2 linked regions of the Arabidopsis thaliana genome follow. The protein of the gene in region 2 interacts with the protein of the main gene of each other region in a pairwise test. Each region holds a gene or a part of one and is shown on either strand. Other genes may lie near its edges.

Region 1 (4,977 bases), 2.5 Mb from region 2:
GTGGCGTGAAGCCATTTAATGCGTAACGTTTCCTTTAAGGTTTGATAAATGTTGCTTCTTTACGGTTTCTATTTACTGATTTGGAATCAAACATTGATCTTTTAGAATATTTTGGTTTCAGGTTTTCTGCTTAGCTCTGGAATGCTACTATTCTTGGATGTTCATTGAACAGAGAGATGATGATGGTGTTGGATTAAAGACTCTGAAGCATTAGGGACTAATGGTTTGAGGTTAATTGTAAGCAAATGTACATAAGTTTGTAAGTATAAAGAACATGATTCCATAACAGTTTTTGGTGTTCTGCTTGTGCTACTTGAAAATACTTTTGAATTTCGGTTTGAGTGTTGCAAATCTGGACAATATCATAAACAAGCCTACAAATTCAATTTTTTAAACATTTACTTGTTACTAAATTTTGAGATAGTATCACATTTCTAGAGTGTAAGTTTGAAGATAAATTTACAGAAAAATTATAAGTATCACAAGTATACAGATTGATTACTTAGACAGCAGCTGGTGTTGGTGCTGATGCTGGAGTTGTCGTTGTTGAAGAAGGAACTCGGTTTTCCGGGGGGATCTCAGTAAACTCGGAAAGAATTGCCCTGAATTCGTCACCGCCAATAGTTTCTTTCTCGAGAAGCACTTCAACGAGCTTATCCATGGCTTCACGATTGTTCTTTATGTGGCTTAGAGCTATCTCATATGCACTGTCTGATAGTTTCTTCACCGCAGAATCAATGTCTTCTGCAAGCTTCTCAGACATGGAGTTTCTTGCCATCATTCTCATGATGACATCGCTTTGTGCCGAAGAATCCATCAAAGACCATGGTCCAATATCAGACATTCCAAATGTTGTTACCATCTGCAAAGTAAAAATATTCAACAGTCTCAAACACTCAGTTTCATCAACTAGTAAAAGATCAAACTTATCATCAGGCTCCAGCATAACTAATGTGAAGCTGAACGTGTCGCGTACCTGTCTAGCCAAACCGGTGATCTGTTGTAAGTCACCAACTGCGCCAGTAGTCACCTCGGAATCACCAAAGATGATTTCTTCAGCGGCCCTACCACCGAGTCCACCAACAATTCTTGCAAAGAGTTGCTGCTTGGAGATGAGTGTCGGGTCATCTGATGGAATGAACCAAGTCAGACCTCTTGCTTGGCCTCTTGGTATCAACGTTACCTTTTGCACAGCATCATGTCCTGGAGTCAATGTTCTGTAAAAAACCAAAGTTTATAACTTTAAAGTAAGTTTTTGATAGTAATAATATACAGACAGGCTTTTAATATGTTTCTCACTTACCCACACACTGCATGACCAACTTCATGGTAAGCTACCAAGCTTTTGCTCTTGCCATCGGTCATCACTGTTCCTTCCATGCCAGCAACGATTCTATCAATGGAGTCATCAATCTCTTTAGATGATATCGATGTCCGTGCTCGCCTTCCGGCCAATATAGCAGCCTCATTCAAGAGGTTAGCGAGATCTGCTCCGCTAAATCCAGGTGTTCTCATTGCTATTATTTCAAGTGAAACATCATTGTCGAACTTCTTATTGCCGGCATGAACCTTGAGAATATCTGTTCTCCCCTTAACGTCAGGAACGTCAACACTTACCTGCACCAGAAATTATAAGTAAGCACAAGCTCTAGGAGTAGTACAGGATTACAAAACATATCAATGTGTAATAATCAGATAGTACCTGCCGGTCAAACCGTCCTGGCCTCAACAAAGCAGAGTCAAGAATGTCTGCTCTATTGGTTGCAGCAACTACGATAACACCAGTGTTACCTTCAAAACCATCCATCTCAGTTAGGAGCTGATTGAGGGTCTGTTCTCTTTCATCATTACCTCCACCAATTCCGGTTCCTCTTTGCCTACCAACAGCATCTATTTCATCTACAAAGACAATGCAAGGAGCGTTCTCCTTGGCTTTCTTGAAAAGATCACGGACTCTCGAGGCACCAACACCGACAAACATCTCAACAAACTCAGAACCAGAGATGGAGAAGAAAGGCACACCAGCTTCACCAGCAATGGCTTTTGCCAAAAGGGTTTTCCCGGTACCAGGAGGACCAATAAGAAGAACACCTTTCGGGATCTTGGCACCAACCGCAGTGAATCTCTCAGGTTTCTTCAAAAACTCCACCACTTCCATGAAATCTTGCTTTGCTTCATCAACTCCAGCAACATCATCAAATGTTACACCAGTGTTAGGTTCCATTTGGAACTTTGCTTTGGACTGACCAAACTGAAGTGGGTTACCAGGACCACCAGGTCCACCCATTCCACCACCAGACCGTCTCGAAAGAAGGAACAAACCACCAATCAAAAGCGCCGGGAAAGCAAGATTACCAATCAAGTTGAATAACACAGAACCTTGATCTTCCTGAGCATTATGTGCTGCAAAATCAATATTCTTAGCCCTAAGCTTCTGTAGAAGCTCTTGACTTAAACCCGGTAGCTGAACACGTACTCTCTCAACCCGGTTACCCAATTCAGGAGAAACAGCTTCCACAATAGCTATAGTCCCATTCTCATACAAATCAACTTTATTCACCCTATCCTTATCCAAGTACTCTAGAAACCTAGAATACGACATCCTCGACGAAGAAACACCTTGTTCATCAGCATTTGCTTTCCCACTTGCAACCAAACCGACCCCAGCATTTCCTAACAAGATTTTGAGAAAATCTCTTCTTCCTTCTTGCTTCTTCTTCCCATCCAAAGAAGCCTTCACTACATTAACCTTAGATGTCCTAATCACTGAAGAAAAGCTTGTCTGTCTGCCGGAAAAATGTTTACTTAACCTCTGTTTGGTTGTTGTGTTCACTGACAAACCATTTCCCACAAGACAAGCTGATGAAGCTGCCATCTGAAAATTCATCAAAGAAGAAAAATTAATTAGATGATATATCAAATCCCATGAACGATGAGACAGAACAAGCAAGTTTCTTACAAGTACAAGAACCTAACCCTCAGATCAAAGGAACAGTAAACATACTTCGAGTTCTTAATTCAGTGAATTAGAAATCAAGGAACTAAAACTAACACAAAGCGACGAAATCAGAATTTGCCGAAGAAAACCCAGTCAGAGTTATGCAGCGACGGAGATTATAAAAGAATCTAACCAAAGAGAAGAGGTAGAAGACAAACCTGTATCGATTACAGATGAGAGTTGTATAGGGAAGGAGAATCTCGAGCTCTGCAAATATGGAGGATGGAGAGAAAGAGAGGAGAATAGTGCAAGGGACTTGGAGATTTTTTTTTAAGGGAACAGATGTGGTTCGTGAAGAACTTACGTGTCCTTCATTGAGTGGTTTAATTTAATTACCCGAATCTAACCAAAAACTGAATTGGTATCCAAACCAAAATTGGTTTACTCGACGATTTTCAATTACTGTACATATGAATTTCTCTGTTATGTTATGTATTCTCTTGCAATTTGTATATTACACATTTTATTTTATTTTTGTAGTACTCTCAGAGCAACCACATTGGTTAGTTTCTAAGTAAGGTTTCTATGTATTTTTTATTAATTAATTTTGATATTTTTGTAGTTTAGAGATTTTGTAGAGTTTTTGAAAAATTTTTGGTCCATTAAAAAAATCCTTAAGTGAGTTTCTAATAAAACTAAAAAAAAATTTTGAAAAAAATGTGAAAGTGTTTGGGATACATTTGACTCTCAAAACTTGACACAGACTCTACGCTCTCAAAACTTGATACACTCACAAAATTCGACACACAAACTCAAGTGCATCTTCACACGACCATAGCCTATACACTTATACACAGAACAGAACAACACTTGCATGTGCTTGCTATTTATGCTTCCTTGAACTCTTGCATCTCGACAGGGACATCATCCTTAAAACGAAGTTGAAATTCATTTAGAACAGAACACAAACCAATCTATTGAAGTTTGAACACGAACACAAACCAATTAGAACAGAGCACAATGAAACCAATTTAGAACAGAACACAAACAACTTAAGATAATAAGATTCATAACCGAACAGAACAAAAACAAGTGAAGAAGCATTAACCGACACAAAAAGACTAACTTTCAAGACATAAAAGGCACCATTCAAGCATTTGACAACATGTCAGTGATAAGTTTGTTCTTTAAAGCCATTTCAAGATCACTAAGCGGCCCTGTAAGGTATGTAAAAGTATATAGAAGATGACACAAAGTAACATAAAGACAGAATAACAAACAAGATCTGTCATTCTACAGTTGGTTTCAATCGCGTGCTTACAAGTTTGAACCTCAATAGAAAAAGCTAAACAAAAATCAACTTGAAAGATTTTTAACTGACATTAGAAATTGTTATTACCATTTAATTGCAGAAACAAGTAGAGTGAGAAAAGTATTGTTCCAAGCTCAAGAACTTAAAGAATGTAGTCTGCAATTCTACATACACCTGAAAATGACAGCTCTCAAGATTTCAGTAAGAGTACAAATGCTTAACGGTCAATACAACAATCAAACTACTCTTCAACGTTTAGATGAGAAAGAAACACTTAACAGTAATGTGTCACATAAGGACCATATAACCGAAAATAATGGCATATGGACCAATTGTTCATCAAAAGCCATAAAAGAAATGCATAAACCAATCTAATAATATTCTAGTTACTAGTCTCTATACTTACTAAGCACTATAAAAAACAGAGGCTTTTCCATGAGAATTGCAATTCTTCTTCGATAGCAGAAGCATGGTCATGTTCATGTGAATAAACGTATAAACCTTAACATACTTTATGCAGATATTCTATAATTTCTTAAACAACAGAAGTTTAAAACAATGCGTAGAGAACACCACAATTCCAAACAATGCGTAGAGAAAAGGCTATAATTGTTGTGAAAGTTAAGCAAGTTATTGTATGATCGATCAATGACAAGAGAGACACTCACCGGAATTCTATCTGGATACTTCTCTTTAATCCAAGCAGCCTCCACCCTACTCTTTTCTG
Region 2 (3,937 bases):
GAGGTTAATTTGTTCATCAGTGAGTTTCCATTGATGTAGCAATGAAGTGTGTTCTTGACAACGAAGTAGACCTCGTTCCTAAGGTAAGTAAGGGGAAATAAGATTAACCCTAAATTCAAAATCTGAAATTTAGCAAGGGAATTAAGAAAAAAACCTGTCCTTCCCAAACAGCAGAAGAAACATGGAGGTCTTGCTCGTATAGGACAGATGGATCAACTGGTCCGACATCAATATCCATGTCGATAACTTACTCAAAATCAGCGAAAACTAAGATTACATAAACAAATTTTTGTCAAATTCTCAAAACACGAAACTTTTGATTCTTCAATTTGGGACTAAACACAGATGAAGAAGAAGAAGAAGTTGGGATTGGAAGCTAACCGTAACCTAATTTGGACTCGGTTCATAATTTTTCTTCTTGGCTTTTTATAGCTGTACCGGTTATTTTGGTTTGGTTCTCTTAAACCGACTCTGTTTTTCGTGGTTTTACTCTGTTTCCGGGTTTCTCTGTTTCTTTTATGTCTGTAATGGCATCACATTCTTCTCTAATGGAAGTTAATACAAACAACTGAACAAGATAACATTGGAAGATACATAAACTGTCGAAGCAGCGTCAATCTACCATACTTACACCGAGCTATAACAAAACTCTTTCAACATAAGATAAAATGGGGGTGACCCTTTTTGGATACTTAGATTTGATGTAATTATATACACACACATTAAAATTGACATCTATGCCTCCTAATCAAGATCAAACAAATCTTTACCTTTTTACTAGGAATGAGCAACAAAATAGAACAAAACAGAAATATACATGTTCTAGAGAACTTTCATGTTCTTGAATGCTCTATCAATCTCCCGGAAATAGCAGTCGCAAGAGCTGCAGTGAACTTAGGATCTTTGGTCAACGAAGAAGCCATTTGTTGCACCAAAACCTCTTGAATCGTCCCTCTCTCTTTCTTTTCCTCAACTGGTTCAAGCCCACCTTGAACTAGATCAAGTTTCACTGTCCTGGACACACTTGCATGTGGTCCGGTGTGGTTATGTGTCCCTTCGTAAGTGGCTACCAAGAAAGATGGATCTTCTGCACTTCGTTGCACCTAAACAAGCGCACACACAACTAGGGAATTTAATCAGACAGCAAGATGATATCGAAGAACTCTTTAACAAAGTTTAAACCAAAGTACCTTCTTCTTGACTAGACAAGACGGTGAAAACGAGCATCTGAAGTAAGCTCTAGGAGATGGATTATCTCTCGTAATCTTTTGCCCGTATTTCCTCCATTGATATCCATCTTTCACAGTCTACAAGTAACGTATATCCACAAAACATTCGTTAACAAATCAATACACTCAAAGAACGATACTTGTAGTAGAAATCTCCTTACCAAGCTTGTGTCAGACTTCTCAGCAGCAAAGTAAGCGGTTGAAACCGTCGCTTTATCGTTGGTGATGTTCTCGATTGGTCCGAGACTGAGTCCAATTGGGGAGCTAACAAACTCATCAAGTTCTTGTTTTCGTTTCCCCGTTAGCTGTTTGTTCTGAAAGTTAACACTTTCAGGACTCTTTCGACTCTGCAACTCCTCCATAAGATTATTAAGAGCATAGTACTTCTCACAGACTCTTGCTAACATTTCGGTTAGCTTCTTGTTCTCCGAATTAACCCGGTTTATTTCATCTTGTAGCATATTTCTCTTCTGTGTAAAATGAAAATCACCATTACCAAACTAAGCTGTAAGACAAAGCTTTGATTTGTTCAACTTTTGAGCATCACCGATCTAAACAAACTATTCAATGTCTAAATCAGATATGAGAACTTGATCAACCTAATCCATTCACTCATAGTCAAAAATTTTGAGGTCAAAGTATTGCACACCAAAGTGTTCGATGAAAGAACTAACCTCATCTTTCACTAACCATTTCTTCTCTACAACTTTAGAAGCTGAAGCCGAGACTTCTCTTTTCTAAATCAGGCAATAAAATATATATGAACACCACGAATAATCACCACAACCTCGAAAATTGAAGTGAAATTTTCGAAGAAATTGAAAAACTCACCGGAAGTTTACCGGAGAAATGAAGGTCGAACGGATTGGTGTTGGGATCATAGTCCATAAATTTAGGTTCACAGGAGCCAATTTAATGTAACGTGAGATTATAGCGAAGACCAAATTCATAATTGCTAAGAGATTTGGTCTCCTTTGGTTTTATAGTAACTAGTAAGTGGAGAGAGTGTAATAACTTGTCAATTATGAGAAGGTTGACGATTTGGGTGGAAAATGAGGGTCTCCTTTCTAATTCTAAAAAAATTATTATAAATCTTTTACAATTCTTGTAAATTCTCATAAACTTTCTTTAAAACCTTTAAAAGTTTTTAAAACTCTTTGTAAAATCGTTTTAAAACTTTTATTAAATCTTTTAAAAACTTTTGTAAAATTTTTATAAAATCTTTTGTAAATCATTTTAAAAACATTTATAAAATCCTTGTGTGTAATTCTAATTGTGCCAAAATTATAATGTGTATTATGCATATGATAGTGATTGAACATAGAAACAAAAATATTGGAAAAAAACAATACTAATGAAATGTGTAAACAAAAATTGCAAGAAAACTATTTAATTTAATACGTATTGACAAAAAGCAAGTTGTGTTTAATACGTTGGATTAAATTTGTTGGCTTGCATCGTAAATACTAAATGCGTGTCCTAAAAAATTAAAAAGGTTAGGTGTTAAATCGTAGTCGAATTGTTATGTTTTGTTGTAATCGGAGAAAACAAGTGTAAAGATGGATCAAAAATCAACAATTTCGGCGGATGTCCCATGTCGAAGAAAAATGAGTACTTTACATTAAGTTGCATTGTAAGATCCAGACCAACTTTCGCTTGACTTGACCCATTGACTATGCCCTGGAGGTTGGCATGTTTAATTTTGTCTCATATTTTTGTTTACTTAATCCTACCTACATTTAGTTGCATTAGTTAATTATGTCAGCTAGGCAAAATAAGATTTCGTTTCCCTTTTTTTTATGTTCATTAAGTTTGAAAGAAAATCATTATTTTTTGTTTTGTCATCTTTTTTATTAATATTATAAAATAAAAATATATTTTCCGATCTTACAAAACCGGCAGAAAACAAAGATATCTTCGAAAACATAGTTTAAAAGAGATAATCAAAGCTCCAAAAGAAAGAGAAAACACGTATTAAGATATAAACTATGGAAACAGAGGCTTAAGAAGAAAAGCTCATAAACACTAAACTGTATAAAATCAAGAACTCATTAAACAAAGAAAAAATGTTGTAAATAAACTAGTTGCAGGATTAGAATTTTCATACTATAAGCCAACAATCTCAAAACTTGAGTTGATAAATTTAGACACAACCATTATTCGAATTGTCAAGTTGGTTAGGGATGTGAGGAAAGGAACAGAAATTTGAATCCTATTCTTGAAACAGCAGCAAACCAATTTCGGGCTCTATAATAAAGTCATACTATGAATATTACAAGAACTTGCTATTTTTGGAAATATAGAGAGCTTTGGGTCCATACTCGATTTCCCAGAATTTGACACAAAATTTCAAAATATAAATAAAAATACAAGTTGGGGTGTCAAAACTTCTAACTCGGATTAACGAGTCTTGTGTGGTTTAGAGACTTTCTTCTTTCGCTTCTTGACAGATTTGGGTGTCTTCGTCTTCCTAGACTCTCGTTTCTCCTCTTTCACTTTCTTCTTGTGCTCTTTCCTTGCAGCTTTCTTGTCTTCATGACCCAATTCTTCTTCACTCTCTTCTTCCTCACTTCCTTCTTCACTTTCTCCGTCTTCTTCTTCCTCTCCTTCCTCTTCTTTCTCTTCATCATTCACCTCTATTTTCTGCTCTTCTATTTTAGGAAGAGCATCCTTAAGCCCCGTTATCGTTTGGTATAGCATGTCTCCTG

Evidence for each region. Proteins that work in one complex are often made in the same cells at the same time.
Region 1: the proteins of WRKY60 (region 2) and VAR2 interact in a two-hybrid assay, tested with the Arabidopsis thaliana proteins (one large-scale study listed by BioGRID).

The regions. Positions count from the first base shown.
Region 1 is NC_003071.7:13,172,590-13,177,566, reverse strand, and holds VAR2 (FtsH extracellular protease family), read right to left. Parts: upstream 3,247-4,977; 5' UTR 3,157-3,246; exon of another isoform or gene 3,048-3,156; 5' UTR 2,888-3,047; coding exon 1,703-2,887; intron 1,618-1,702; coding exon 1,304-1,617; intron 1,218-1,303; coding exon 977-1,217; intron 863-976; coding exon 503-862; downstream 1-502. Other genes in the region: AT2G30960 (myosin-M heavy chain-like protein), read left to right, coding at 1-26. UniProt on the Arabidopsis thaliana protein: Part of a complex that function as an ATP-dependent zinc metallopeptidase.
Region 2 is NC_003071.7:10,627,992-10,631,928, reverse strand, and holds WRKY60 (WRKY DNA-binding protein 60), read right to left. Parts: upstream 2,268-3,937; 5' UTR 2,118-2,267; coding exon 2,061-2,117; exon of another isoform or gene 1,967-2,060; coding exon 1,904-1,966; exon of another isoform or gene 1,700-1,903; coding exon 1,391-1,699; intron 1,308-1,390; coding exon 1,191-1,307; intron 1,104-1,190; coding exon 834-1,103; 3' UTR 516-833; downstream 1-515. Other genes in the region: AT2G25010 (Aminotransferase-like, plant mobile domain family protein), read right to left, coding at 1-78, 155-238; AT2G24990 (Serine/threonine-protein kinase Rio1), read right to left, coding at 3,630-3,937. UniProt on the Arabidopsis thaliana protein: Transcription factor. Interacts specifically with the W box (5'-(T)TGAC[CT]-3'), a frequently occurring elicitor-responsive cis-acting element.